Linked DNA regions of Styela clava. The protein of the gene in region 2 binds, or shares a complex with, the protein of the main gene of each other region. Links are inferred from orthologs where the notes say so. Each region holds a gene or a part of one and is shown on either strand. Other genes may lie near its edges.

What was found.
Region 1: dnaJ homolog subfamily B member 13-like (region 2) and leucine-rich repeat-containing protein 23-like share a complex: the UniProt entries of both Homo sapiens proteins name them as parts of the axonemal radial spoke complex. The link is inferred for Styela clava from reciprocal best matches to the Homo sapiens genes DNAJB13 and LRRC23.
Region 3: dnaJ homolog subfamily B member 13-like (region 2) and ropporin-1-like protein share a complex: the UniProt entries of both Homo sapiens proteins name them as parts of the axonemal radial spoke complex. The link is inferred for Styela clava from reciprocal best matches to the Homo sapiens genes DNAJB13 and ROPN1L.

Annotation. Positions count from the first base shown.
Region 1 is NC_135264.1:17,882,653-17,895,185, forward strand, and holds the start of leucine-rich repeat-containing protein 23-like, read right to left. Parts: upstream 5,301-12,533; 5' UTR 5,190-5,300; coding exon 4,793-5,189; intron 971-4,792; coding exon 848-970; intron 1-847. Other genes in the region: endoplasmic reticulum resident protein 29-like, read left to right, coding at 6,627-6,749, 7,560-7,698, 8,250-8,333, 9,183-9,333, 9,826-10,111. UniProt on the Homo sapiens protein: Essential for sperm motility and male fertility. Plays an important role in the proper assembly of the third radial spoke (RS3) head and the bridge structure between RS2 and RS3 in the sperm flagella.
Region 2 is NC_135258.1:21,470,113-21,480,125, reverse strand, and holds dnaJ homolog subfamily B member 13-like, read right to left. Parts: upstream 3,476-10,013; 5' UTR 3,453-3,475; coding exon 2,517-3,452; 3' UTR 2,359-2,516; downstream 1-2,358. UniProt on the Homo sapiens protein: Functions as part of axonemal radial spoke complexes that play an important part in the motility of sperm and cilia.
Region 3 is NC_135258.1:5,479,161-5,490,131, reverse strand, and holds ropporin-1-like protein, read right to left. Parts: upstream 4,972-10,971; 5' UTR 4,876-4,971; coding exon 4,231-4,875; 3' UTR 3,434-4,230; downstream 1-3,433. Other genes in the region: uncharacterized protein LOC120338783, read right to left, coding at 493-718, 2,740-2,840, 3,256-3,397. UniProt on the Homo sapiens protein: Functions as part of axonemal radial spoke complexes that play an important part in the motility of sperm and cilia. Important for male fertility.

The DNA.
Region 1 (12,533 bases), on a different chromosome or scaffold from region 2:
TTAGGATAGGATTTACATATTTATCCCGGGGAGACGAAAGTGGATAAGACGACTTAATTATATGGCGAACCATGGCCTCTCGTCTGGTTACGAGTTCATGTCGAGTATGGGATTAGTTAGCTAGTTATTTGTTTTCGGAAGCATGGACTTGATAGTGGAGGAAATCGTATTAGAGTGATATTTCTTTTTATTAGGCGCGTCACTCTCTAAATAAGACGCTGTACCAGCATTTCTACACCTGTTTTATTTTTTAAACTCCATTGAAATCGGCAACATCATGTGTGCTCCCATAAGAAAATTGCAGGGAAATAAATGCAAAAATAGCAAAATCGTTGCACCGTTTTTACTTAGCTTTCTAATTACCAGGTTAGACCGTACCAGCTAGCAGCGTTTCGAGCTACGAAAAATTGCTATACAGGGAGTCCTCGGGTTACGACGGTCGCGACTTACGATGTTTCGAGGTTACGAACGCACCCCATTAAAAATATAAAAGATGATACTGTACTGTACAGTATTTGCTTTTATTCATAATGTGATATGAAATTGTTTTCTGTTTTTTTAATAAAGTACTTTTTTGCATTATTTGTACATTTTATTACAGTACCATACTTTACAATACAGTACGATATGTGTAGAGTAATTTGGGCACTGTACAGTATAATGTTTCGACTTACACTGAAATTCGGGTTACATCGCGTCTCGAGAACGTAACAACGTCATAAGTCGAGGACAAAAACTGATACAAAAACTGTTTTTTTTGCACTTCTAAAAAAAGGGACAATTTGATTCCTAAACAATATCCCCCCCCTGATCCTTAGTATGGCCGAGGTATTCAACTATTAGTTACCTAGTTTATTTCCTCTCAATTCCAAGGTATGAAGATTTGTCAGAGTTCCTGGGTGAAGTCCAGATATCGATGTGATCTGATTCGAATTCAAGTTTAACTGCTCGAGTAATGGATGCTCAACTCCTGTAAAAACATGAATAAATAATAAATTGAATGGAATCGTCAAAGCTGATAAGACCGATTAATCATATAGCGAACCATGGACTCTCGTCCGGTTCCAAGTTACATAGTTTAATTACCATATTTCATGGCTAATAAGTCTACCCGGCAAATAAGACAATGTCAATTCTTGGCACTCAAAAGGAGGGTCTTTCCATATAGCCGTCCAATAGGACGGGGTAGAAAACTTGCTTTACTGTTGGTCAGCTAAACACTATTATGCGATAATAATTTTATATGGTTATAACCAGATCATGTTTATTTGGTAGAATCATACTCCCAGAATTAACTATTTTTTTAAATAAAGCGTTAATTTTAAGTTAAAAAGCGGCAATCATTTTGAACAACCTATTAGCCCAAACACTGAAATAACATCTAAATAAGGTGTGATAGGAGTACACTGTACGTCCATGGGTTTATTTCACAGCTGTGTTTTCCTGTCTGTGTCGTTTTTCGTCGAACCGGCAAAACGGAAGGGTCATATATCACTTTATCTCCGTGGCCGTATTTTTCTTTAAAGTACCGATAACGATGGACGTGAATGGGGAGGGAGTGCTTCATGACACCAACCAGTTATTACTACATGGCAGTTTTTAAAAAGAATATGACAAATAACAGCTACCCGTATAAAGCCAATTAAATATCATGATTGGAGACCCTTTGGCGTCATCGGGTATATAATAAAAAATATTAAACTAAATATAAGTTTCACACAAATCATATTTCAAGCTCACCTGCCCAATAAGACGACCCCTCCAAAATCAGGCCACAAAATTGGGTTTAGAAAAGCGACCTATTAGCTGGGAAATACGGTATACAACAAGAATAGTTAACTAGTTGAAACTTGTCCTAATAATCATACCATATACCAGGGATGGCCAATACCGAATAGTTCACTATTTCGAATACATTCGAAATTATTTTTTTCGAATATGAAATTTCGAATACTTCGAAAATAAAATTCACTAATTGAAGCTTATCTAAATGTATGTAGGAATTTCCATACAATAAGCAATGGAATAACTGCTATCTAGAAGTTACAACCTAGCTTCATTACCAGGCATTTCATATTCCAGTATATATTTTATATACCATGAGTCATGTTAACAGAATTAAATTAATACGGCAAGGCATTTTAAACAGTGGTATCGGTGATGGATTTGAATATTTGCGCAACACAAAATCATCCTAGTGAAACGGCCATACTCTTAATTAAACACCAACCATTATCCAAATTATTTGCCGATAAGCGGGATAAAGTATGAGTTATTTTGGTTATTGTGAGTACAAAAATGCGAATCAAAAATTAATTATATTCGGGAACTATACCACACATTTTAAGTCCGCAGATCGCCGTTGCATGTTTGAGTAATAATACTTTTATTATTTTATAAATAGGAATCAAAAACTATTTATAATCGGGTAGTTTATCACACATTCTAAGTTCACAGATCGCCGTTGTATTTTGTAAATACGAAAATAGGAATCAAAAATTAATATTAATCGCGAGTTTGCCACACAATTTATGTCCACAGATCGCCATGATATTGTGCCGAATATAATTAGTTTTTAATTCTTATTTTCGTACTCACGAAAAAATAGTCACACGTTGGAAAATAATTGATACTTTATCCCGCATTTTGGGAACTAATTTGGATAATGGTTGCCATTGGTTTGTATTTAAAAGTATGGACTTTTTACTAGGATGATTTTGTGCTGCGCAAAATATTCGAATCCATGACCGATACCTCTATTTGAAATGCCTTACCGTGTTAATTTAATTCTATTATCATAACTCAAATGTTGGTAAATCGGGCAGTTTACCACACATTTTAAGGCCACAGATCGCCGTTGCATTTTAGAAATATAGTTTTATTATTTTGTAAATACGAATCAGAATTTAATTCTAATTGGGCAGTTTACTACATATTTCATGACCACAAATACCCGTGGTATTTGGTATTAATACTTTCATTATTTTATCAATATGAAAATAGGAATCAATATTTTATAATATCGGTCAGTTCACCACACATTTTATGTCCACAGATTGTCGATACAACCATGAGTTACGTTGAACAGAATTAAATTAATACAGCATGACATTTTAATAAATGCTGTTACCAGTCATGGATTGGATTATTTTGCGCAACAAAAATCATCTTGGTAAAGGATCGATACTTTTAACTATCGTTATCAAAATTATTTGCCAGAAATTATTTTCTAATAAATCGACTTTTTTTTCCAACTTGTGACTATTTATTTGATACGTAACAATTACGGCTATGAATACCGTATTTCCCGGCTAATAAGTCCACATGGCAAATAGGACGATGTCTATTTTTAGCACTCAAAAAAGGGGTTTTTCCATATAGGCCCCAATAAGACGGGTAAAAAAATTGTGTCCCTGTTGTTCAGTTATGCTAATATGCGCTAATAATTTTATATGTTTAGAACCAGATCATTTAACTATATTTAACAAATGAGCGGTAAATTTAAGTTGTAAAGCGGCAATCATTTTGGACAACCTATTAACCCGAATGTTGAAATAATTTTGAAATGTGATAAGTACTACACTGTACGTCCACGGGTTATTTCACAGCTGTGTTTTCCTGTCCCTGTCGTGTTCTGCTGAATCGGCAAAACGAAAGGGTCACAAATCACTTTATCTCGGTGGCCGTGTTTCTCTTTAAAGTAACGATAACCGGCCTGCGATTAAATATCATGATTGGCAGGCCCTAAGACCCAAATATAAGGTTACACAAATCATGTTTGAGAAGACTCATGCGAATAAAAAGCAGGCCACATCGAAATAAAATAAACATACTTTCTCAATTAGACGCCCCCACCCCGCCTAGAAAAGCGACTCATTGGACGAATTTTTGACGTAATGAAAATGAATTTGTAAATTAAAAGCCTTGTAGACGAATGTCGGCAATGTCCACCCGCACAAACGTGCAAATATGTCGCAACACTATGCGACGTACCGTCGCACAGAATATAAACAATCAAAATGCCGATTCTATTTCATCGTCATTACAATACGTGAGACAGCGTAAAAAGTCGTTTGAATATTCCCGTAAAACGAAACACCACGTTTACGGCGAAAAGTGGCTACTATTCGGAATTATTCGAAAATCAGCCGAAAAGGTATTCGAATACTTTGATATTCGAATACATTCGAATATTCGATTCGTTTTGGACAACCCAACATATGAGTTAGAAAATGTCAATACTACTATATTATGCAATAAAGATAAACCACTGAGTGTTTTGTAAAAATCACTCATTAAATTTCCTAATATATTTTTCACTCGTCATGTGGTCAAGCATTCCTTTCAATTTACTTTCATTTATTTACATATTCAGGGACTCAAGAATGAACAAAGTGCTGGGTGATTTCGTTCAAGTTTAATTCTTAGATTTACATATTTATCCCGTGGGAGTGAAAAGCCGATAAGATGGCTTTATCATATGGTGAACTACACCCACTCATCCGATTACCAGTCCGTGTCAGATATGGAATCAATTAGCCAGGTATTTGTTTTCGAAAGAATGGACTTGATGTTGGAGGAAGCCGTAACCGACCAGCGGTTACGTGAACCAGCCTACGATGGCGAGGAATCCAGCAATCCTCTCGCACATGATCATACCCGCATGACATTCGAATCTGTAAACCCAGGTAGAGTAAACAGAGATGTGGTGACGAGCGTATTCCTAACGCTTAAAGCACAATGAGCCACACCGCCTATAGATAGTTTATTATTAACATAAAAGCTTTTTAACCTTCTGTGCTTGTGATCTTGTTGTTGGCAAAGTTTGCAATCTGCAGGAACGGTAAGGCTTCTAGTTTTGGGCTGGTGAGCTGGTTTTTATCAGCCTTCAGTGTCAGCATATTTGTCAGATGGTTGAGCGGGGTGATGTCCCGTAGAAAATTGCCTGAAAGATCCACATAACGAACATGGATAAAACTTTTCAATAATTGTATATCTGTTATGTCTCTATCGTGAACATCCAAGCGCACATAAGCGTGTGTTAGCCCGCTTCCTATCTTGCAAAGCAACGAAAGACATTCTGGTATGACGTCTTGTATTAGAGGGTTATCCGGGAGTTTTTCGTCCCCCTCAGCTTCTGTAGTGCGAGGTTCCGTGATTTCCTCTCCAACATCTGATTCATCTGACATTTTTTCAATTATTAAACTTCAAAATAACTCACTATTATACGAACTTAGATCTATTCGGATTAGCTCAGACCGAACGTGAGTGACGTAAAAACAACAAACTCACAGTGGTCTCTATAGCAACGCTGAATTTATCTACAGCGAAAACTGACCAAGCGTGAAGGGGGTCTTGTCCTTCTTGAAACAGTAAAATATTTTTACAAAAAAAATTAATTGAATGAAAATAATCATATAATTTAAATTATATAATAATATACTATCATTTTATTCGTAACGTAATCACGACTAATATGGTTATTTTCTCCTTTTCTAATTTATCCTGACCTACGAGATGATAAACAGAGCAAAATTAAATAAAGATAAGATTTCGAAATAAAATACGTTGGAGAATTGGTGGAGAGGCAAAAACTAACAAACTATAACAAGCAAACACAATTAATAAACATTTCAATGAAGGAATTAATCAAAACAAAAATGTCGCGTACGAGAAAAGCCCCACGAAGGCATAATCTCAAAAAAAATTTCAGCCTTTTTGACACATTTAATTATGATCATGATTAAAATTTATCATTATAGTGATTCAATAAAAAAAAATCAGACTAGTGTCGTCACAAACATGTATGCAAGTGCACAAAGTCATAATACTCATGTACTTTTATGTCCTATATGATTTGAATTGAGCCATACTTCTGAAAATTCTGACAACTTTTATACTATCACGTCATGTATATATCTATCTTAAGTAATGTATATATTTTTTAACAAAAATTCGAAATTTATAATAAATGATTCTAAAAAACCATGAAAATTTCAGCGGAATATGACGTAATATTCATGCTTGAGTAACGTTGAATATAAACAAGCCGGCGTGTGAAATTTGCACCTGTGCTTTGACGAATCATTTTGCGACACGTTTCTATATAATGTCGGTTATGTTTCTGTTCTTTTTAATGTGTTCTACTCGCGAGTGGATTTTGGTGAGTTTTTATTTATAATACTTATAATCCATGAGGCATTGGCTCCAAAAAGAATAGGGACCAATAGACCATTGCGCGATAAGGTGTTTTTTAGGATTTTTGCTAACAATTAGACTACTGAATTAGGATATCTTACAATTATTGCTTAAAATTCTACAAATGCAGAAATGCCCTAATTTTTGTGGTCAATGTGGCAATTTGGTATTAGTATTAGAATTGAATTCCAATTGAAGTCGTAGACTATAATACTGAACTAATGTTATCGTTAAATCAGTGTAGCATTGAATAGGAAAAAGAAACATCTAAATCATATTCCTGTATTCAGAAATGGAATGTGTCTCAACAGAATTGGCACATGTTTTTTAGGATGAAACCTATCTTATGCAACCTATTTTATGTTTCAGAGAGAAAAAGGTGTTTCTGACTTTCGAAATAATTTTCATACCAATAAACAGGCCACAACATGATGTCACTATATTCTACAGTTTTTGTCGCAATTCTCCTGTTACAAACCACTGGTCTTCAAAAAGTCAATGGACTAGCAGTGGCTGGTGCTTTGTCTCTGGATAGCATGACCTTTGATAAGGTAAGAGCATTTTTGGGGTCTTGTGTGGTCTCGTACTTCAAGTACTTGTAGCGGGAGCACCCAACCAATTTTGTATATATCAATCACCCACCTGACTGTGTGATCTGAAAGTTACGTCAGTACGACGTAATAAGGCCTTTGAAACTATACAAAGTTTCATCCGAGACACACAACAGCACAAGCGATCACCCGAAATTGAGCAAGCTACTTCTCAATTTTTTTTTCGTTGCAATGATTTCGATATGCGAAAGATCACTGCCGTTAGTGAGTTCTTTATGGTTGGCGCAGCAGCCATTTCGGACGAAACTACACAACACTCCATTTTTGAATATGTATCAAACATTTTTGTTTGCTGAGTCATTATTAAAAAGAAACACTCCATTTTTGAATGTGTATCAAACATTTTTGTTTGCTGAGTAATTAATTAATTATTAAGAAGAGATGCTCAAATTAAAAGAACATGTCTCACATTGGCATGATACGATCTTGACTAAGCACAGAGTTAGCTGAAAAGAGCGTGAAAGAATAAAGTCATAAGAATTATATGAAAGAATTATGAAAAATTTGTTAAATTATCAATAAGCTTGCAATTAATATAATAAATTGAAGTTTGAGTTTGACATTTTCGTTTTGACATTTTAAAATGTCCTTTACCTCGAATACAGTGCCACACAGACATTCTTGTTTTTCAAAGCATGGTGGCTTCTTTCATATCAATTTCTGCTTGTTCAGAGTCTTGTTTAGACCAAAACAATCCGTAAGGAAACTCGGAACATTTAACCAACGATTTGCTCATCCGTATCTTTCCAGGTTGTCAAGTCTTTCAAATCAATTTTAATAAAATTTGACAACGCTTATCCACACGGAGAACATCAGGAAGAATTCAGAAAACTGGCAACGCTCAGCTCGAAAACTGAAGATTTCATCATTGCAGAAGTTGGAATAAATGGTAATCACTGTAGGATTCACATATTTATCCCGGGGGAGAGGAAAGCCTATAAAATGGCTGGTCCGGTTACGAGTCAATGCCGGGTATGGGATTAGTTAGCCAGTAATTTGTTTTCGGATGCAAGGATTTGATGGTGGAGGATGTCGTAACTGACTAGCAGTTACGTGAAACCACCCTACAGCGACGAGGAGTCCAGCAATCCTCTCACATATAATTATTCCCCGCAGGATTCAGAGAACCCACGCAGGTTAATCAGAGGTTACAGTGGTGTGTGTTCCTAATACATGGCACGATGCGCCACACCGCTGAGCCAGAGCCAACATCTTAGATATCAGAAACATACCACTGAATATGGCTTTTACGAGCTGATAATTTTGGTTCGGCATAACTTGCCCAATTTAATGCAAAGACTTGACACAGATGTGCAGCCTATGTTTAATATCTTTTCAAAACATGAAAAAGTCAGTAGAAGCGAGAATTTATCTCACTCATGTTTTATGGCATATATATGCTTGATACAATGAATACTCATATCATTGAATTCCTTGCAGAGTACGGTGAAAAGGAAAATCAGGACTTGGCCAATAGATATGGAATCAGGAAGGATAATTATCCTCAGTACAGACTCTTCAAAGGTAAGTGTAAAGGGAGGCGCAGTTCTTATCAGTTCATGGCAGCTCCTGCCACGAACGAACCGCGGCAGCTCTTGCCATGGTTTTATAGCGCTATTCAGTAATCAGTATTAACAGTATATTCACAAATTAATGTATCATATTCTAATTGATCATGTGGAATTATATCTACTTAAACACTAACCCTAATCCCAAATCCATCAAAACTGTATCTATAAGAAAAACGTTCCAATTTACCCAATATTTGTCACCATAAAGGTCTTTACGACCCACCTGCCGCGGTTACGGCAGCAAAATTTCACCTGCCATTGGTTTTCGATTTGCTGCCGCGGTAACGGCAGCTCGACATTGGTTTGTGGCAGCTAAAAAGTCAGTCGCCATAGGTTTGGCCATGGTATGGAAATACCGCCATGGTTTTGCGGCAGCTGCAGACGCCACAGAATACTTAAAACTGCACTTGTGTAATGGAGACTTGGAGAAAAGTTTCGGCGACTGAAATGCTATGAGATACAGAATAGACTTAGGGTGGTGCATTATAAGTACTCAAGAGTCTTTGGGCAAAGTTAGGGGCACTAACTCGAAAGTAATGGAGACTCATCTCTGAGCAAAGTCACATGCACTCACTCAGAAGTGAAGGAGAGTCATTTCTGACCAAAGTTATGTGCACTCACAAAGAATTGGAGAAGATTCATACCCGAGCAAAGTTACAGGCACTCACTCAGAAGTAAAGGAGACTCAACTCTGGGCAAAGTTATAGAAGACTACTAAACAGTTTAAGATGGTTAACTTGGGACGTGAATTTCCAGTCAAAATGGAGCCGCTTATCTCATAAACTCAAATTTCAATTTTTAGGTGATTTTGACAGTCCTATATCACACTCCGGTGGCACAACTCACTTTGAAATTGTCAGATTTCTTCGAGAGAACGGCATCTACGTGGGTCTTGATGGATGCTTGGAAAGATTGGACTCATTGGCGGAAAAATTTATGTCATCACTAGGAGGGTTTGTATATCTAAATCATTACCACCAGGATTTAGGGGGTTTGTAGAACTTCGCTTAATACAGTCCTTGTAATCAGCCTCCAAAAAAATGAGTCAGGAATGTTAAATTACATTGGACCTTTTTGAGTTATCTCCAACTCCATCCATTGGCACAACTTCTGGGTCAAAAAGTTGCACACATCTCTCCGCATTTCTTAACTCTTCAGCAATTCTTCTATTTTTATTTATTATTACTTTTTCAGTGCTTGTGGGTATTCATACAGGGTTTCCAAAAAGTTTCGCCCAGTTATAAATTTTTTATAATCAAATGAAATAATTTTTTTTTTTTCGAGATGTTAAATGTTGTAGTCCCCATTTATCATACGACCAAATTTATTCAAATTTGCAATTGGTAATGTTATGAAATCGGGCGGAACTTTTTGGACACCCTGTATATTATTGGGCGGTAACTGAAAAATTTTATTACATTTTGTTCTTATTTCATATTTTCTAGGCAAAAAGATACTCAAGAAGCCGTTTTCAATGAACTACAAAATGTCGTAGAAAATTTCCATACAGCAGAGGAAAAAGAACATGGCGAAATGTATATTTCGATCGTTAAAAACATGATCGGAAAAGGGCGAGATTTCGTACAGAAAAATATTGATCGCATGGTTTCGATATTGGAGGGGGATAACGTTGCAAAAAATAAGAAAGAAAAACTACAGAAAAAAGTCAATATTCTGAAGTGTTTTTCGCTAAGTGCGGCCACTAGCTCTGGGATAAAAGACGAGTTATAGTTCTTTAATATCTATGAGTGAGTAGGACTGTCGGTCACTCTCGAAGACATTCAGAGATCAGGAAAAACGTAGGTTAGATCAGATTTGTCCTCATACTCAACCCTTTATATATTTTTTTTTATATTTATCTTGGGGTAAGGAAGTTCGTAGAACAACTTCTGAATATCACAGACCAGGATTTTAACTTGTTACCAATCCAAGGTGTTTAAGGACGTTTAACATTATTTGACAAGATGAATAAACATTTTGATTGGGGACATTTACAACTCGCCAGCGAACCCCACTCGTTCTCAATTTTTGGGATCGGGATAATAATTCTATCTTTATGCTGTCTAACTTTTTTGCTATTGTCGAAATCATACTATATATATAGATTTTATCTCTGTGTTGCGTTACCCAAAGGGTTAAGGGAGAGAATTATCCGGTCTTATTTTATTTAAAATTTGTCTGTTATTAGTAATTATTTAAATGCTCTGGAAACCATGGGTTTTATTTCTTTATCACCTAGTTCAGAAATAAGTAGCATATTCAAAATTTAATTATTCTCTAAATTAGAATTTTTTAGTTTTCATGTGTCTGAAATTCTAACCTTGCCAATCATTAAAACAAGTTTTATCTTGCCTCAAACTTAGCTGAAGAAATATTTATTTTTGAATTTTTTCCTTCAAAAAAAAAAACTTGCTTAAACTAGGCTTGGACATGCATGGAACTATTTTTAGAAAGATTAAAATCTTGATTAAAAGATTAAAATCTTGCTGGGGTAAAGGGAATGGGGGTTGGAGGCAGATAGGGGTTTGGATTGTTCACACCCCAGAGCGGTACACGTAATCGTATTTAAATTTCAAATTTATAAGTATTTTTTACTTCAACCTCTGCAAAATAGTTGATATTCAACCAACCATGACATGCAAACACTCAGTTATGTCAACACTGAAATTTATAAGCCAATATTCATACTGTTTGAAGCCTTAAATATATAATTTTTTTTTTTTGAACTTCACAGAATATTCAATTAATTTCAAACTCTGTAAAATTTGTCAACAAATTGTAGCAAACATTTATATGAATATGCATTGTGAGATTTACTACTGCGGCATTGGTACCGCAGCTTTGAAATGAGATTATTCTGTCTGGACATGCTCTATCGATTTTTTGTGCGAGAAGAGTCTTACAAGTAGATCAGACCTGACAATCCATGACCAGAAATGCAGATTCTATTTTATCATTGTGAAAAATTCTTTCTAAAAAATTGAATTTTATTTGATATTCAGAATTATTTATTTTAATATTTTGCTTAATTTTAATTTATTGCTGTGACTATCAGAAGTGATTAAACACAAAATAAATTAATGATAAGCTAATCTATCTCTCTCCTCTGCAGTCATAGACAAGCAGTTAATGTATACGTGCGCGAAATTGTTATGCCAAGTTAACAACCAATAGTATCAATTTCAAGTTTTTTTAGCACTTCAATATAGTTAACGCTATTAATTTTATTCATTTTTTTAAATATCAAATGGGTTTCCATTAGAGCTAAAAACAGGAGCCCGAAATTCGGGCCTGGAATGTCAATCATTACGTTCGAGTCGGGCTTCTCTATCGCTGACTTTTTTTTAAATGAGGCGTTTCGGCCACGAGAGACCGTGGTTTGCAAAAAAAACAGAAGTTACCTCATCAACATGACACATACTGTACTAAACTCTTGCAATGACAATTCAAAGAACTCCTAAATAGAATATGAAATTTCGGGCTCTGGCCTATAAATTCAGTCAATTAGTCGGGGTCTGGTTTAATACCCACGGGCCTGGGTTGAGCTGATATTTTTGGGCCCGATCTTACCTCTAGTCCCAATATTTACTTGAAAATGATGGAAAGCAATTTTTATTCCTTCACGATGATGCTTTTCAGCTAAGGCTGAACCAGTACCAATGTGCGGCCTTCGTGTCGCTCTATTTGAGCGTTGGTCAACAACGTATCAACTACCCTGCGAGAGATTCAAGAAATGCGAAAGGAACTTATGATATTTTAAAATTGAATGATTAATTAAATATTTACAAGATTGCTTTACTGTTTTATTGCATTTTCAGTTAAATTTGAATCAACAACAATACCTTACTTTTTACTCTATACCACTGGTTCTCAACCAGTGGGCCATGGCCCACTGCTGGGCCATAGAGTCTTTTCAAGTGGGCCACAAGCCTATCAAAAATTACTATTATTATTGGAAAGTTTAGTTTCATTTGTGTCATTATAGTAGTATTGTAGTGGCTATGAATGATGCTGCTACTTTTCATTCTAATCATTAAAGTGAAAGTATTTATTTTGGCAAAAATAGTCTCGTTTTTCTTGTAGTTTTTTCCCTGCATGAGAAAGTTAGTGGGCCATAGAATTTTCATGCAACGAAAGTGGGCCAAGAAAGAAA
Region 2 (10,013 bases):
TTTCCTCATTGCATTTTATCTCAAAAAATTTCATTTGAATAATTTCGGCGTCATTGAACCCTTTGCACTTAGCCTCAACTTTACTGCATTTTGTTGCCATTTGTCTAATAATAATTAAATTATAGGCTCATTAAACGAGTAATTGTGAATTATATACTTGTCAGGTTATGATATAGTTTAGTCTGTTACGTAAAGAATATAATCGTCAAACAGCTGTTTTATTACTATAATTCAAATTCAGTGAAGCGTCGCGGGCCGGATTAAATTACTACGCGGGCCGGATCAGACCGGCGGGCCGTAGGCTGCCGACCCCCGGTACGATCTCTGCAACAACAGGTCTGATGGTTGCCGACCACTGAAATAGCCTATCGGACCGCATCCAGTAGGCTACTAACGAAATTATTTGTACAGTGCTATAGTTCTTTGATATTACTATATTCGTTTTGCAGTTTAAATATCAAATGCAAAAACCTTTCACCCGAGATGAGCCTTTTCCGAAGAATAATTGAGTATTTACGGAAAAAACTCAGTCGTTTGACAAACGGCGACTCTACTTCACCTACATGTAAATGGAACTTTGCGATGTCATCTCTGGTATTGTGTCCCAACAATGTCGTAAGAGATGAATCGTCATTTATTCAACTTCATTTAAAATCCAAAACGGTCATTTTTTACAGCAATTATGCGGAAATAACAAAAAGCATGTGGCATATTTCCCAGTCAATCGTTGATGAAAACTCAACATTACGTACGCCAAGCACGGGTGATACATCAACTGTATTTTTGCAAGAAGTTGGGTTACAAATGGCAGTTTCTGTGGAGTCTGTCAAATATCGACAACCAATTAAAACAATCGGGGAAATTCAATACTTCCATCTGCACAGAAAAACTGTACTATCTTCCATCACTCCCGCGATATTGAACGGTCATGAGGAAAAGCGGAAAAAAACTTCTCGAAACAAAGAAGAAAAATGTTGGAAATACCAATTTATCACAATATACGACATTCGTGCGGTTTCAAGGGACATTATTCAACTACCGAGGCAACATCTACGAATGGTTGTCTTTGAATATGAGTCCATCCGCGAAAAGCTTTTAAAGCAAATTAAAGTGAACTAGAAATATGTTTCTTGCGGAATTAAAATTAACCTGAGATTATTATATGCGTGTCGCTTTCTCAATAAAAAAAAAATTGAGCGATGGGAAAATCATTTTTTCAACTGTAAAAATTCAATACCATAAAACTGTCCAATATGACGTCCCTAATCCTTTTGTAATTTATGCATGCGACAATTTACGCCGAATCTTTTTTCGATGTCATTCATCACTGTTTATGCTTGATTACATTCCTTCTTTTTTTCGAATTATTCTTTATATTTTCAATAATAATTACCCAATCCTATCATGTACAATTGGATATGACTCTTTTCTTTCTGGTGAGTTATTGATGAAACATGTTTCTCATTGTGTGTGAACGATCAGATTATGAGATGACTACCGTGATAAAACAGCAAAGCTATTAGCGATGAGGCGTGTCAGACTTATAGGTGAGTATCAGCATGGCAAAAAGTATCGAAATGCCACCACCTTAATTGCAACTCATGTATTCCTCAGAGTCCGATTTCCTTTTAAATGAAACCTCTGAAGGCAAAGTCAAATATAGATAACATCTCCGGAGACAGATTGGTATGTGCGGATGGATTGAAATGTTAGCGTTTGCAATATCTACTGCGGCAAGACGAAACTTTACATTGAGCAAATTGCCGCAGACAGTATAGGCCGTCTGTTTAAAATATGCGATGGAAATAACATCAGTCTCCTAGAATTTCTTTACTTTTTCTGCATAAAATTGTAGCCCCATCATGCTACAACGTTACAAAGATTTCTTATAAAATCCAGGCCGTGACGTTTGAATGTCTCTCTGACTTTCGCGTTGAACATGAGACATAAAAATGTCCGGGTTAGTATAGTTTGGCACTTTGGAATTTATGTAGTCTCATTTTGAATATAAATGTTTAAAAAGTCAAATGTTACAGTGAAATACAGTAGTTTCGAATTTAATTTGAAGTTTAAGCTAAATATTTTTGATTACTGAGAAGAATTCTTACCAGTAATATAATTTTTGGACTAACAATTCCTGTGCCACAAAAATTCAAGTTATCATTTGACTTTTACAATGTGTCAACAAACAAACCTAAAAAGGAATTACAAATCTTAAAAGTTATTCCAATGCAAGAATAGTATTTCTCTCACAAAAACAACCATGCATATATGTTAGGTATGCAGTTCTAACTGGCTCAATCAGCTACAAAGTGGGTACGATTTGATCTTGTGCCACATTGAGAAAACAAACAACTATTAAACTGAAAGAACTGGTGTCTTATGTACTCATAAGCAGATGAAGATGAATGTCATACAACAAAAATGAAACACTAGAAATTGTACAATACGTATAACTAATATATAAACTATTATATACAAGCATGTGAAAAATTGTGTTAAGAGTTCAGTAAAATTTAAACCAGAAGTGCTTGCCGTATAAGTTGTTTCTTTTCTGGGGTCAACTTTTCTGGAAATTGAATATCAAACTCAATCACCATATTCCCTCGTTCTGATGGTCTTTTAGAAAAAGGCATTCCTTCCTTGGGTACAACTTTTTCATATTTTGGATGAACGATGTCATTGATTGGTATGTTCAAAAATCTGCCATCGAGTGTGGGTACTTCAATGCTGCACCCGATAAGTGCTTTTCCGAGTGGTATCTTTGCAACATATACCAAATCATTACCTCTTCGTTTGAATAAAGTGTGGGGCCTGTCCTGAACGACAAAAACTATATCAGCCGGAATATTGTTTGGACCTTGATCCCCTTCTTGTGGAAAAGTGATCTTGGTTCCTGCTTTCCATCCAGGACGAACGTTGATGGTGAGGATTTTGTCTCGAATGCTAGAAGTGTGCCCATCTTCATTCATAACCCTCCGTGAGATTTTCATTTTTTTCGTACATCCATGATAGATTTCCTCTAATGTCAAATGAAGTTCTCTTTCAATAGGTGAATCTTGCTTCTTTCTCCCTCTCCCATGAATTCCTCCAAATGCATTCATTATATCAGGTTCTCCTAGCAAATCAGCGAATGGATTTGAACCTCCAAAAAAGTCTCTGAAAACTTTTTCCGCATTGCCATGAAAAGTATACCCATTGGTAAATCCCCCTCTATCCGATGGAATTCCACCTTTCAAGCCTTCTTCACCAAACTGATCATAGGTAGCTCTCTTCTTATTATCAGCCAGAACATCATACGCTTCTGCTATTTGCTTGAATTTTTCTGATGCACCTGGCTCTTTGTTTTTATCTGGGTGAAATTTCAAAGCTAGTTTGCGATAAGCTTTTTTGATGTCACTATCTGTAGCATTACGAGTGACACCCAACACAGAATAGTAATCAACACCCATCCTAAATATTTTTTTAATATTTATCTGAAATTTAACAAGAAAAATATAGGTTTACCTGAATTTTATCGCAACTGATTGAATAGGATTAGTTGTTCTGCAATATCCATATGCTCAGACCCTAAATCTTACTTAAAAGTGAATTCTCATAAAATTGGGATATTTCACGATTATTAAAGAACTAGATTCGAGAACCGAAACGAGGCAGAACCATATATCTATACTATTTGTACAAACCAAACCGAGGTCGGGGTAACTATCTGGCACTTGGGAACCGAATATTGATATGTAGAATTGAAATAAATTAAGCATAATTTCCTACTCTAGTCAGGTAAGAAAAACGAAATACAGTAAAAATATTCTTCATATGAGAGTTTTCACCGATATTTCTGAAATTTAAATAAAATATGATATCTAAATAATATAAAAAATAGCTAGACTGGAGCAAAACAAAATTTATTGTCAGAACTTTATATTATGGCAGCTGCTTGAATATTTTGAAACGAAATAAAGATTTTGAAGATATGAACTAATTTTCCACATGGCAACTTGCAGAGACACTAAAAAATAAAGCATGAAATTTTGGAATGATAATATTTGGGAAGAATTTTTCTACGATGATAACATCAACATGCAGATGTGCTTGATATTGATATGATCTTGATATTATGCTCGCGTGTATCACAATCACTCTAGGACCTTCAGTGTCATTTGACTGTTCCAACAAATAATATACACTTATGGCCTATGCGCCGTTTTAGGTTTGTTGACAAATGAGGGTAAAACATGCAACTGCATAATGCATTTCAATACTGTCTGCAGTACACAGCTTTCCAGCGCAGAGGGTGACCTAAGATGGTAATGAGTTTGTTTTTCAGCTGCATTGGGAGTAGTTTAATCATTATAGCATATAAATGGGCCACATGTGGATTTATAAGATAGGATTTTCATATTTATCCCGGGGAGAGGAAAGTTGATGAAACAGCTTAATGACATACCACGGTCTGTCTTTCGGTTACCTGTCCATGTCAGGTATGGGATTAGTTTGTCAGTTATTTGTTTTAGATTATGGACTTAAAGACATAGTTACCTTTGGGTTAGAGTTCTACATAACTAATAATTGCATTGTACCAGTGCCGACGGGTTACCTAAGTATGCTGGCCCTGTGGCAAATATGCCCAAATGCCCTATAAATCAACATGCATTTGTATGTTATTATTTTAAAATAATTAACGAAGCAATATATGAACCTGAAACCACATCCGTGGGCGCTAGCGCTTCCTGAAAATGCATTCGAGCGAAATCCATCTTGCATGTTGGGAAAATTGTGATTGTTCGCTCAGTATAACTGACAGTCTGAAGGGTGGTGTAATGAAACAGCCACTGATAAACGGTGCTGACAAATTCTAACAGTATAAACTGACTTCGTTACCAGTATCTTCAAACTTGCATTTGTATATCAACGCCCTGACGCAGAACATTCAGGTGGAATTTAGATAATTGAACCACATTGCTGCGTAATGTCACTGATATTCGCAAATCATAGACCTTATATGGAAACAATGTCTATAAGCCTGAAATAAGTAATAAATATAACCCAACCATTTGTTTCCTGTATATGCGATTCAAAAATATATATTGTTTATATATCTGTATATAGTCTAGTCGTGGGATGTCCGAAATATGGTGTAGACTACCGTACTCCGCCGCAGAAGTTAAAAGTTGGATAGTACATACTAGTTATTGTGATCTGTGTTAAATTTCTCATGAAGAAAGGCCATGATATCCCTGTATCCAGAGTGGCTCCATATACAGATAACGATATGCCATTTTGTGGTCTGAAAGTGCATAAACCTTGAAATACAATTTTACACTACAGTATTCAGGTAGAGCACTCGTTGAATATTTTAGTTTCGCAAGCTTATCTCAATTACCTTAACCATCCAGTAATCGAACCAATTTACAGATAAAACAGAAAAAGGTATTACAAAACGCAGTAACGTTAATTCGGGTTTCTTCGATTCTCGTGTTAAAAATTTAGGATAAGAAATACAATTAAATCATCCCAAAGTATACGATACTGAAATCTCAAGTAATCTATTAAAAACATAGTCAACCGGTACCAGCTGTATTTCCCCGTAAAACAAAACGTCAATGCACAAGCGCAGCCAGAGCGAAGCAAACTGAGTACAAGCTTGATGATAACGAATCCTCAACAGCGCTGGTTATCGTCCGTCGTTAGGACAACGCGCCATCAAGTGATAATTCTTGACCTTTTATCTTAATTGTTTTCATTTTTGACACTTTTATGACTTGGTTTTCCAGTAATTTTCTTTCCGCCAGATGAAAAGGAAATTAAAGCTTTTAAGTTTTAAATATTAATGAAGTTTCAGTGTTTTGCATAATTCACCACTAGAGCCCGCTACACTATGACACCAGTTAACCAAAGGGAGCTTGAGAGAATATGATTTAGGTATGTGAAAGAGAGGGTCTTTCTCTGTGGTTCCACGTTGACTATTCCTTGCTTACATTTTTCTACTGTTTCACTCGCCTTTGAAAAACTGCCTTCATTTTTATTAGTTGTACTTAAACTTAGTTTCAACTAAAGCTCATTTTGCACAGTCATTCCGCGAATCAAATAAAATCAGGTTTTGAACACCGCATTTTAATGAATGAATTCAGATGCTGCTGAATGAATGGACTATTCAGATGTTGAATCGTCTGCGTTAAAACGCTGTACAAATACCTTTCTCGGATCACAGTCAGCTTTAAGGTCCTTCAAGCATCTCGCGTCCCTTGATTTTTCGGCCCGGCTCGGTTTGCACAGTCATTCCGCGAATCAAATAAAATCAGGTTTTGAACACCGCATTTTAATGAATGAATTCAGATGCTGCTGAATGAATGGACTATTCAGATGTTGAATCGTCTGCGTTGAAACGCTGTACAAAAACCTTTCTCGGATCACAGTAAGCTTTAAGGTCCTTCGAGCATCTCGCGTCCCTTGATTTTTCGGCCCGTAAGAAACCATAAAATCACTGCTATTTTTTCTGTGAGCCTTGAATGTTGCATTCTTATAAGTTACGTATATACAGTATATTTTAAACCCTTCGGTAGAATATAATCATGAAATCGAAATTGAACACTGACAGAAGGCCGAGAATTTGGGAAGGTTCACAAAAAACGCAACGCATGAAAAAATGTTTAGACTTGTGGTTCTCAAACTGGAGTCCGCGAGGAAATGATAGGGGCGCCGAAAATACGAGAAAAATTTATCCCAATTCAGGTCTCCTGTATCAAAAAATGCTGATATTTTTTCAATTACATCTGCACTTTTTGCAGTAGTTTTTAAAAAAGCGGAAAACGAAAATTCGCACAAAAACAAGTAGTTGTGAGCATAACGTCACTTATAACGCATTTAAAATCATTATCCCTTTCGTCTCCACTTACTTATGTGAGCGTGGGTTTTCTACACTTGTTCAAATCAAGACGAAAGCAAGGAACAAACTTGATGTGCAAGATCATATGAGATAAATTAAGCTATTTGCGTACGCGAGGAGTGGCAGCTAATTTAAATGTTGTCCGAATAGCTCTATGCTATGTTCTTCTATTGTGTTTTCGGTTTGAAAATTGTGGGCGTCCGGGGTTACTTCAGGGAAGCATAAGGGGTCCGCAGGTAGGGATTTGTTAGAAAAGAATTGTTTCAAATCAATTGCTTAAAATCATGCTTTTTTACCTGTTTTGTTTTAAATGGCTGTGTTATTTGATTTTTTAGTATTAAATGGGTTAAAGCTAACACAGAAAACTTGCCAATCGCTTCTTATTCGCAATAAACCCTTCGAACACCACCACGAATATCGATGACTTGCCCGTACATGCATTTTCAAGCTGTAGCGCAATGCGTCCCATGACGTGGTTAGTAGAAGAAGACGCAACCGATAAGTTATTGCGTGAACCGCACTGCGACGATACTAGCAATCTTCTTGCACATCGCTCATGGGATTCGAAGCAGGGCCGGATATATCATAAGACACGGTAGGCTGAAGCCGAGGGGCTTCAAACCAAATTTTGTAATTCACGCAATTTAAAAATGTAACCGTGATGTACATAATTATGATGATACATAATACATAAACCGAAATAGTCATATTATGACACAGTTGCGCTGTTCTTGTCACAAAGCCTAGCCCCAGTTTGTCTCATCGTCTGAATCCGGCCTTCATTCGTTCGAAAATGCGAAGGTTGATGCCGAGCAAAGTGTATTATCCTTTATCGTATTAACGCACTTGTTTTGCCCAATTTTTAGGCGGTGAGCGGGTCCCTGATCTAACTGTTTTCGTATTGTAGTAGGCCCGTGAGCTATATTTCATAATTTTTCTTGCCTTTTTTATTCGAAGCGTCTCCATGGTATCTCGGATAAACATATATCTTACATATTCGAAATTGTTATTCCGGCAACATGCGTAGCTGTCAAAACGCACCATTTTGACGTAGTTTCACGGCGATGCCAGCCAGGGGAATTTCATTAATTGAAAAAACATAATATACAGAATAAATTAGGTTTAAAACAAGCCCTTGTTTTAAAACATGATGTTTTTTTAGAATTGATAAAAAAAAAAACTTTATCCGCAGGCGCATTAAAGTTTGACAATCACTAGTTTAGACGCACTTTCACAATAAAATAGACCAAACCTGTAAAATAAGATTATTATATTACAAATGTTGTACACTGCTATAAATAACTCGACATTAACTACATTAACATTTCGAAGTTTGCTTAATTTTTTCAACACCTGTAATGAATGAAACTTGGCATAAATATTCGCTCAAGGCTCAATCTCAAAGCGTTACGAAACCTTACCCAAAGGGATGTTTGAGACATGACTAAGCTTTCCAAAAACCACTACGCGGTTTAAATTAGTTGAGATTAGACCAGCCCAGGCATTTTTGTGACTGATAATGATATGAACATTTTGACCTAAATCAAGCTATCTAGAACGTTTTATTTTCCTACTCGCGGGGGTTGGAACAGGGGCAGCCGCGCCGGGCAGCACGTTATAGGTCTGAGTTTGTTATACCGCCGTAGTACCGTGTTTCCCCGAAAATAAGACAGTGTCTTATTTCAATTCTCTTCCTAAAAATAACACTAAGGCTTCTATTCAAGGGATGTTTTATATTTTAATTTGTCAAAAATAAAATAACAAAGTACAACGGATTACGATATTTTAAAATATGCAAAATATAAAAACCGATATCCAATTACTTACGAATAACACGTTTTGATTCAAAATATCTGCAAAACATAGATTATTAAGCATTTAAAACATGTAAGAGAGATTTCTTTCTATAGACTAGGTCGTAAAAATTTCGCGTTATTGACTAGGTCCTATTTTAAGGGGAGGGCTTATATTAAAATAATTCGTGAAATTCAGGCTAGGTATTATTTTCGGGGTAGGTCTATTTTTCGGGAAAACACGGTAGTATACCGTAAATATATACTACTACGGTTATACTAATAACAAGAGAGCTACGCCCAAATATATGGACACGTCTGCTCGCAGTACAGTACGGTTTACCGTACCGTCAGATCACAGTCTACAAATATATTCACACCAAGCGAAGCAGTACAGTAGGACACAAACTGGCGTCCGATGTCCGCAGAACGTTTAATGACGTCATAGCAAACACAAACAAATCTCACAGAGCTAACAGAAATATTTAAAATGAATAAAAGTAATAGCCTTCTGAAGAAAAATTATATCTTCAACCACTGAAAATTTCAAAGCAATTGGTCCAGTATTCGAAGAGAAAGGCGATTTCTTCAAAACGTGTCAAAGAACAAGGACACTAAGAACAACAAGAGAGCTGTGCTCAAATATATGGACACGTAGCGCCACCCAGTGGGAATAATTTTGATAACGTCATAGCTTGAAAAAAAGTAATAGCCTTCTGAAGAAAAATTTTATCTTTAACCACTGAAAATTTCAAAGCAATTGGTCCAGTATCCGAAGAGAAAAACGATTTCTTCAAAACGTGTCAAAGAACAAGGACACTAGGAACAACAATAAGAACAACAACAACATAATATTGAAACGATCGCTATGTCCACTACGTGTCCAACAATAAGAACAACAACAACATAATATTGAAACGATCGCTATGTCCACTACGTGTCCAACAAACATTTCACTCTTACTTGACCTTTAATTTATTCATTCACATGTATAACAACATCTATAATTTGTTTATTCCACGAAGTATTTTTGAAGTCAGGTATAAGGGTCATCATTATCAGAAATTCTCTCCGAGCAGCAGAAAAGTTTGACACACCCCTGGTAGGAACAACTCTCCTAAATACATATCGCCTCAATAAGAGACATTGTTTTTATTAAAAAAATATGTTCCTATCGTATTGCAATTTACTTAATTACCGTTGTAGCTAGATTAATAAAATGTAAACCACGTATCTGAAAAATGTCACTTTTAGATAAAAAAAAAAAGTGCTGCCGATATTGCGGTATTTTACTGTGAATTCAATTCATATTAACTGTTATTTTGCTGATATTA
Region 3 (10,971 bases), about 16 Mb from region 2:
AATGCTACGGGAGTCACTTGGCTAGTCCCCGAACTAGTAATGGAACTGAAATGGAGAAAATTGGAATAAAATTATAGCCTAACCCTAACCTGGTACACATACTAAGTTCTGGTGTCCGCCATCTTGGTCCACATACTACGAGAGCCCCAAATTTTTTTTATAAGACAAATTTATATGCATTTCATTCAGAACAGGCTCTGTACAAATAGCCAATGCTAGTTATCATAACAGGAAAGGATCGCCATTCCCTACCCGATATATAACACCCTAGTGTTGGGAACTCGAACCAAAGATTAGAACCTGCAATGCCATCAAAAGTCATCATAACTTAAAATCAAACGCTTAAGCTACTTGGCCACCATGCCCATGTATTACAAAATATATTATTAATGACCTAACTAAGAGGCTTACCGTGGTTATTCCATATAAGTACACAATAAAGTACTTCTAGGAATATAAAAAAAAAAAATTATGATTATGAAAAGGACTCACGAATTTTCCCAATCCTTTGTAAATCAGACAAATGTTGCAAAGCGTCCAGATATCTTTTGTCTTTATAATCCCACCAATGAAACTGTAGGCCGTCTAATTGCTTGACTTGCATACGTAACATTGACTTCGTTATCGCTGACTCGACCACATTCCGAGTCATTGGACCTGCACTCGGAACCATTTTCGTAAACGCTTGCACAGAATTCTTTGGATGAAACGAATGACGCTGAAAATAGAGTCGGAAAAGTTTTAGTCAAAATGTCTTTTGATAAAAAAATGATTTTCTAGAATTATAAGTCCTATAATTAAATAGACAACAATTCGGTTTTTGAAATTTGATCCAGAACTAAAAAAGGGGGTTGTGAAGCTGATAAGACGACCTGAATCATATGGGATGGGAACCACGATCTCTCGTCCAGTGACCTGTCCATGTCGGGTTTGATATTAGTTAGCCAGTTATTTGTTTTCAGAAGCATGTACTTAATGGTGTAGGAAGCCATAGCTGACCAGCAGTTACATGAACCACCCTACGGCAGCGAGGAACCTGCGAGCCCTAGTAGTGTAATCAAAGGTGTAGCACGATATGCCACACCGCCGGGCCGATTTATATATTGAAATAATAGATTTACAATGCATTCATTTTGGTATTGGTTTTGGTAATGACCGGCATATGACGGTACGACCAAGGGTCGTGGAAGTCAGCAAGATTCCCAGATTCACACAATAATCAACGAGAATAAGTACAGCATAGTCAAAAGCAATTGTTTTTTTACAAAGCAGATATGCACAAAAGTTTTGCTTTCCATATTATAGGCCCTACTGAGTATATAAAAACGTATATAATCAATAGTCGTATATACAACTTCATCCTATTCCTTTTTCCTGTTTCTGCCAAACCTGTTTCAAATTTCCATGTTATTTATCAAAATCATATTGCATAAGATGTAGGGTAATTATGATGATGATACAGTAATTGAAATAATACGGTTTCTACAGCCGTATAGACAACTTCAACTAATTCCTTAGTAATTATAGGGTTCTCGAAAACTAGTCAGTATCGATAATGAAACTTAAAAATGCTGGTAGTGTAGTTATCAGCAGATTAACAGTTATACTTAAATAAAGTACTTTGAAACTCTGCAGGCATTTAATGGGAGCTTTAATTGAGAAAAACCATAAAAAAATGCATCTTATCTGGATATTGCATTATATCTTATCGTCTGATTTCACCATTTCGTTATCCTTTTGTTGTATTTTACCTATTACTTAACTAGGTACTGCAATTAATAATTCATCTCAATTGATTTAGAATATTATCAGATTTTTATTCGAAGTGATTCAACGGTCTATTGTTATTACATATAAAGCTGCACTAAAAAAATGGTTTCAAATCTTTGTTGATAAAAACTATTTTTCTGAACTTAAATTTCCAACAACCGAAGACTAATTCCCCGGATACAGTCAGACTGTGACATTTTTCAGACGAAAATATATTTTAACGTTGCCACATAAACCAGTAATGTGATTAGTTAAACATACAGACAAAGGTATTTTTATCTAGTTGAAATTCAACTTTTAAAAATAAGTCCTATTCTAATTTGAATGGCAAATAAGGGAAGTATAGTACTTTCCACTCCCATCTGTCTTATCAAGGGAGGCTTATATAAGTATAAATATATAAGTACCGTACATGTACAGAGTATATATTAACCTTTTTTAATAATGTGCCATACTGTGTGGGACATTGCCACATACACCAGTAATATAGACAGAAGTGTTTTATCTAGCTAGTCTTTCTCATGTTTCAAAAATAAGCCCAATTTGTATGGCTATTGAAGAAAAGTGAAAAATGCTTTATTAAACTAACATAAAAACCCTAAAGAGTATAAGCACATGACTCCCTATTGTAAAATATATATTTGCCATTTCTTAATATTAGCTTCTTCTATACCAGTATACCGTATAAATCGTCTAAAGCCTTGTACCGAGTGAGTGAAGGCGTGAAATGGGCTCTTAATTAATAGAGGGTTCTTTTGTGTAATGCAGTCGGATTTAATAATAAAAAATGCTGACAAATGTGCATACTTCAGCTTCCTATTTGAAAAATTTTCCGGTGAATAATATTATGTCTACTATCCACAAATAAGACAAGCAATAAAGGTAACAAATAATGTAAAAGACCATTCTATAGAAACAGAAAAAATTTATAGGCCTTTATCAAAAGTCAGTCAATTTCTATACACTCACATTTTTAATAAAATTGCCAAAAATAATTTCTGCAGGTCCGTAGATATCAGCCATGTCAAAAGTGGTATATCCCGCTTCACAGTATTTATGCATTGCGTTCACTGAAAAAAAAATGAGAGTACCAGACAATGAATCTTGGTATACAAAATCTCTGAGCTAAATATATAATTTATGACTTCTTAATCATATTTAAATGCGTGATAAGGTGACAAAAAAAACTAAAACTTTTAAGCTGTGTTTCCCCTTTGTGGAATTCTTCTCGTGCCTCAAGTCAGAAACAACTAGCTAACAACAAAATACGAATAACAGACAGTAAGGCGCAAGTATGTTTAATTTAAATACACATTGAAAATATGAAAAAATATATTATTCCGATAACTATAGCTCCAAAATTCAATCACACTTTCACAAATGTTATTCTGTGATTTTGGTCTGACGAAATAGACTTACTATTGAATGCATAAAACTCTCAAAAAGCAGAAGAAAAAATAATCTAAAATAACAGAAAAAACTTACCAGCCTTATTTGGATCAATGTCTCCATGTGCACCGGAAACTTGCCACATTCCATTAATGAGTCTTGAAATAACTAATCCATTCTTAAGCCTGACTTGTGGCATAGGAGGTAATTTACGAATAATAGGTGGACTGGCATCCATTGTTAATAGAGAATAATTCTATTTTAACTGGGATAATTTGTTCTAAAAAAATACACAAATGTGGTCAACTAAAATATACACGAATCAGAACAGTGTTGAAAATATAAATCATAAATGCTAGAACATAAAATTATAAGTGAGTGGGACACCGCCAATTTATAGAACTCTTCGATAAGATTATTGACTTAAAATTGGATAATTTATTATAAAAATTTTCAACCCAAAACGACAAAAAATGGCAAACGGTGTACACTGTTTCAAATTATGAATAGATATCATCTTAAATATAGCACATATTTTTTTAAATATTTCCAATAGTTTCCAAAGTTCAACATTCGCCGTACTAAAAGCCTTCCAAGCTAAAATGGGTCATTTGTACACTTTCAAATATTCCAAAGAAAATATGCTTATACATCAAATAGATGAATTTAAAACAAATTTGACATAATAGAACAGTTTCAGAAGTTTGTCATTGGAAATTATAGAAAACTGTGAAGCGAAAAAATAAAACAGTGGAGAGGACGAATTTTTAAAAGCAGATGTGCTAAAGTAATGAAATGACTTCAATAAAAATTACGGAATTTGAGATATTATGGACACATAGACATTGCGGGTCCTATCTACAATTTGTTATCAATGCAGAAAAATAAAAACAGTGTGTTATTTGAATGTACAAGAATATGAAACAGTCAATTGTATGGAACTTTTTGAAATTATAAGAATGTAGTTCTATCCGTTTTGCAGCATACAGTACAAAATAAACCCCTTCAACATAAAAAAATTAAAATTGTACAATTATTTATTATAATACAACATCAATAATGTATAAATAATTATCCAAGACTTGGGCATTCTGGGCTCAAGAAATTTCTTGGCATCACCATTCCTGCTTGCTTTTCGACGTCATCTTTGAGATGAGCAAGAACAGAATCTATTTGAGCTTGCGAAATTTCGCGGCTGAGACTTGCAAGGTACTTAAAGAGAGTGGTGAAACTATCGAATGAAATTCTGCAGGCGCCACCATCAGGATCATCTGTCAAGATTTGGCATACGATTCTCATAGCTTGGGTTACGCTTTTTCCTCCAAGATGGCTGCATGCAACTGCGAAGAATTTCAAGAATTCCATCTCTTCAACGAAATTTCCAGCACTCATTATCTCTTGTAGTTGTTCTTTAGGAAGGCCAAGTTCTTTCCACTTTTGTTCCAGGAGTTCAGACCCGATCATGTCCTTTTCGTGGAGTTGTTGATATAATATGTCGAGTAGGCCAATTGTTAATCCAGTCGCGCCTGGCTCCAAACGTCGTTTCACAGGGAGTGCTTCTCCTCTAGAAAGAGCAGAAAAGTATGCTGCCGACCATGAAAGTACGTCGGGAGGTTGGGTTCTGATTGCGGCTTTAGTAAATTGCTTTAAAATATCCGGTAGCTCAGGTGGAACATTAATTTGCTCAGCACAATACATATTTTCTGGAGGAGGCATCTTAATTCTAATTCACAATACAATATATTTTACTTATATACAAGTTTTCAGCTGTGAAGTTTAGAAACCAAATTCTTAATTCTGTAATTTGCGAAACACCAGACTCTAAATTTCAATTTTTACTACCTTGAGCAATTTAAAACTGGCACCTACGGGTCTAAATTAAGACTATATTGGCATTATCTCACTGCATTCACAATCCTAATCTGTAAATACCTAGCCAACTTCTAGTAAACGGAAGACAGGGCAACCATGTTTAAACATTACTCATGCTGTACTGAATTCTAAATGCCAGAGAACTACTACATTATCTGACAAGCGTTATATACTAAAGTTCCGGTTGAAACATTAACCCCAGACTACCACAATGTAAATATTTTATGAGGGTTGTGAGGCTGATCGTTATGTCAGCGTTTTAAAACAGGGTGACGGTTACGAGAAATCGGCCTTGGTTACGAGGCCGAGTAACCATAAAAGAATAATTCAATAATTCCTTACTGCGCTAATATTTCTGAATTTAGACAAGGTCATATTATAATAATATGTAAAGCTAAACAAGCTAAACGAAAAAGTCCGACCCTACCGTCGAGAAACGACGAGCTTCGCGCACAGGCAAGTCCCGCGAGTTATCAGGGTGACCATGACAACCGTTGAATTGGTGTCTGCGGGTCGAATAAAAACGATATAATTTGGGAACACTCGTATCGAATCTATTGCACAGTTTCTGGACGTTCATTTTATTTGAACGGATATCTTCTGAATGACATTATATGTAAAATACAATCGCTTCCGGCATTGACGACTTAACGCGGATGCGCACACCAAACCTGTCTTTCGAGAGACTAATGAAATTCTTTCTACACGCTACAGCTATGCTTATCGAGACACGTTTGCCGTGTACGGCGGTTTTAAACGGACTTTGACCTCATTTACACACAAGTGCACTTGTTTCTATTTTCGTCGCTCGTCTGGAATGACTAAATAAACGCCGTCGATGGCTCATGGCTCAGTACTGAGCAGGTACTGAGTAACTATGTGTTTAAAATACAACGTCGTTGGCTGACAGATCGATAGGTAATTTTTTTCTTTTTGAACGCAGCGGTACAAAACAACAACGACATACAATGTATGTTTATTTGCCTCAAATTTGTAAGAGTATCTGCACAATAATTACACAGTATAACAAAACAGACACACGTAGCGAAATTGGGAATGTTGTTAAAACTTCAAATGAGGTTTGCGCTTGAGATATTCTCACAGAACGCTACTGACCGACATACCATTTTAAAATCAGAATTAAACATATTTTTTAATGAAGTACTTGAATTTAAAATCCTATCTATTAGGCTCACAACCAACTTAAAAGTAGTCTGAAATGCCTGTTATTAATACTACATACCTGTTGCATTTAAGCGCTCTGGAGAACGTTCGAAATATTATATTAGCTCTTCTTTAGCAATCAATATACATAGGCAAGCATCGGGGTTGAAATAGCTTTGTACTTAACGAGAAATCGCGCAAATTCGTGATATTCAGTCGCACACAGGCTCGTGTTCCACCATTTTAATATCCGCACGAGAAATAATCCAAGAAAAAGCTTGCGTCTGGTAACAATTTCTGCGGCGATGTCCTTGATTCGCTATCAGTAGCGTTCGTTAATACCACCGGCAAACGGAATTGCTCCTAAAGATCCCCGCGAACTGCAAAAGCACCGAGTTAATCAGTATGCATAGTTTTTTTAAATCGAAATGGAATGACCCATTCCATGGCAACAATCCCCGTTAACTAGGGTGACCATATTTCCAAATCCTAAAAGGAGGACACATCGTTTGGTAGAACCATCGATATCTTAACATTAGTAGAACCTTATTTCACATGTGCCTGAGATTATACATCTACTAAATTCTCTAGGACTAAATATAGAGGTGACGAAAATGAAATAATGCATTTTTGCCTTTATTGAAAAAACATCTATAGAAGAATCAATTTATTTGTCCTTGGATCATGAGTATTTGGCTTTTCCTTTAATCTTTGTCAACACTGCCGCGTAATTTTTTGCAATATCGTAAAAATGGCTTGAAGTCTACGCAATTCAGATTTGGGATTGTATGAATATTTGTTTCTTTCTTCAATCGTAAATTTAACAGCATTAAGACAAGCTTTGATTTTAATAATGAAAGCCCCTGAATAATCACTATCCCTTATTTGTTCATTAAACACAGCAAGAAACGACTGCAAATGATCAACGTGCAACTGTAAGCTGAGCTTGTCTTCATTCGCCAGTAGCAAGTACCGTAGCGTAGCCGCAAGTAATGCACCCCATTTCGCTATCAGTTCGACCTTTTCTAAATCATGGATACTCTTGCTTTGGTTCCTGGGTAAAAAAAGGCTTTTCTGTTTTGCAAAATTTACTGAAGTTACTGATGTAATTTATTGGCGAAATCGAAATTTTACCATTGCCAAATATAAGGTGAAATGACGTAAAACATAATTGCAGAACAATCCACTTTTTACGTCATAAACGAGTATGTATAACAATTAGCGTATGCATTTAATCTAGACTCCTAGTAGAGTAACCCCGTATGATATGCTATCACAACGCAATTTATTGCTTGTCATATGTCTAATGATAATTACAAGTCTCTACTTGGTTTAAAATTTTCTTAACACATCGAAAACGGTAGATTATATCATAACAGAATTTTAGATATTTAATCCCTTGAAAAAGGAGGACATTTTGACGTTTCAGAGCGTCCTCGGAGGACATAAATTTTTTAACGAAAAAGTAGGACAAATCCTCTAAAAGGAGGATGTATGGTCACCCTACCGTTAACTGCAAAGACACCGAGTTAATCAGTATGCATAGTTTTTTTTTTAAAATCGAAATGAAATGGCAACGATCCCCGAGCATAGTTTTTTTTAAATCACAATGGAATGGCAATGGAATTTCAGGGTAAATGAAACAGCGAAAAAACAAATCATCTCGAAATGACACCTCTGAAAGGATGAATCCTAACTATAATAATGCCTCGTCGTATATGACGTAAACAAAGATATATTTAAAAGGTAGACAACACCAATAATGACTAAAAAGTAATCTGCATAGTGCATAAGCAATTGTAAAAGACATATAAAAAAAGGAAAAATAGGAAGAACTTTAATGTCTATACAAAAAATGTTTGATCAGTTACAACAATGTTTTCGTAGTTCAGATTTTCTAATTCTTGAACCACATTCCTCACGACTGGTATGAAAATCCCAATAGTCCATCCAGAGTCAAACGAGTTTACTCCGCCTCAACACCCCCGTACAGTTCCTATAACAGTAGAAATTAATATCGCCAGCGTTTCCGCGGCACCATATGGTTCCGTCAGCGCAGTGCAGAGGTCCCTCAAATTACATCCAAATCCTAGCGTCTGTATTATCATTTTATATTGTTCAAATATATCCTAATCAAATACCGGACCTCCTAAAGAATGTGCACCAAGATGGTGCAGGTTGGGGTTCAGGTTATGCGACATCTTGGTGCGCATACTTCAGGAGTACCCACATACCTGTTTGGCTTGCCAAAGCTTTCAGATTAAAGATAATTTTGTTTTGTCAGCCTAGATTTGTTTAAATAAATATTTATGTTTAATTCGGGAAGTAAAAATAAATTTGAATATTGCAACGGTTCTTCGAGTCTAACGGGTGTTTCTTTGGGATTCCGATAAAAAGGTTGAAAACCACTGGCACTGTTTGTTGCACTTGAATTACATAAGATCCCAGTATATTTCATACAGCTTCTTCGGCTATGTCGCCATCAGGAGTAGCCTGTTCGGCTTCTTGGTTATTGTTTTTACAAAGCGGCAGGCACGGAAGAAATCTTTCTCTCCAGTCGGCAAAACAAAATAGAATGCATGATATGTTTACCAATGCACCAAAAGAATGAAATGATAGATTCGCTCCGATTACAATGACAACTACAAGTATATCTGATAGCAAGGATACAATCGTCGCTGCGATTGCTCTTTTCATAAGGTGTCTGAGATCATCGGAGAATCTTTCATTTTGTCGAAGATATCTTAATCTACGTTTATGTCTAATTAACGGGATTAAAAATAAAACAAGCAATGCTATTTGTATTTCAAGTTGAGCTCCCAGTATCACTGAAAAAGCCGACAGCATGACTTCAGCAGAGAATAGAAGTCGGAGGGATATTGCTAATACGGTTGTACCAATGCGGAATACAACTATAAAACATCCTTGAAAATATCTGAACCTTCTTAAATGCTTGGATGAGAGGCGTTTCACCGTGGGTTCCTTGTAAAACAATGTTTGTCGAAGCCATAATACCATGTCGAGCATCGTTGCAACTATCGTGAATGTTTTGCAGTTAGACTCCACAATAGGATCAGTAATAAAACTACATCCGACCACGCTAATTTCCATGTTATCGGGCGCAACGGCCAGCTTGTAGGCAATCAAGGCACAAGAACAGACAGCCGCGGCAACTCCAAATACCCCAGCGATGATAAGAGTTGCATTCATACTAAAGCGCAGATTTGCTGGTTTGAAAACCTCTTTCAAGCTTCCACTCCATGTTTTATAAATGCCTTTCCTCACGAAGACCACGATTTGACAGACCGTGATATAAAACACCAGTACGACAATCACAGAACTCATGTAGATATTGGAAATTAGCAAATTTAAATTATTAATATATTCTGACATCACGGTTGCCTTGTTATTACTAAAAATCTCAACAAATACCTTGAGCTATTTTTTAGCTGAAACATCAAAATTTATATTGTTATATTTGTATCTGGCCCTCCTGAATTGAAGGTTGCATACCCCTGGTCTACCCAACTTATTACACCCTAGACGAGGTGTCGGACGTGGAATTTAAACCCAATAAGTGTACAAGCCGCTATGCCAAAGAAGTTTATTCCAATGATTTACCCACTGGGCTACCGGCCATCATCTACAATAAAAGGCCAATCTTTCGTTATTTTAACTAAACTTTAAGGAACTCCATCAAATACTCTGTTGATTTAAAAATTACCGATTTCATTCTGGAATCATGGGATATCCGTCTTTGGCCTAAAATAACTGGTGCTCCAAGAAGTATTGTCGCACAACCTGATAACCCTAACCTGGTACACATATGTTCAGGTTGTGTGCACATACCATCTTGGTGCACATACTTCGGGAGCACCAAATAACTACCGGTAACAGAGGATCCATCGACAAATGATCGAGTTCATGCTGGAATAAATCGCGTAATACATTGTTTTGATTTTTGTTATTGAGATGAGCATCAAACCAGGAACTGCTGTAAATTCTTTTGGACGGGAGCGAACATCGTGACATATCGGGTTACTGATCTGTATAATTACATTTGTCAGTGGAAACACTGCAAAAACAAAATGGAATTGGAATCCATTTGAACATTAGTCAAACCATCAATCACGGAAGTGTGAGTATAGTTCATACGCTGTAATCAGTATAGAACAGGAATTTCATATTTATGCCTGGAAGGGGGAAGCCACAATCGACCAGCGACCTTGTACAAGTAAGCAGATATGAAGTTGGATTTTTGTAGATGACACTTATTCGCGCCTTCCGCTTCGAAAAAGTCCCCGTACAAGCAGCCACTGATAACTCACTATAACTACGGAGCGACTTTTATTTGGTAGAACATGAATTTATTCCCGGTTCGGTATTGCCTATCCAATTTATTACATGCTCTAATCCCTGCAATCTTCGATATAAACGTAACCGCGTTAACCGCGTCATACAAGGAACTAATGTAAAATCTGTTGCAGTATTCTGTGGACGGAAGCGTAGATTGCGAGAGTTCGGGTTACTAATCTATATAATTACATTTGTCAGTGGAGACGCTGCAAAATAAATGAATTGGAATCAATTTGAACATGTGTCAAGCCATCAAATCACGGAAGTTTCAGTATAGTTGTTACGCTGTGATTTGGGTTTCACGAGAATTGCATACGCATGTCTGGGGAAGCAGAAGCTTAATTATATGGCGCATCACGACCTCTCGTTAGGTTTAGGTTACTTGCTCATGTTCAAGTATGGGAATTTTTGACCCGTTGT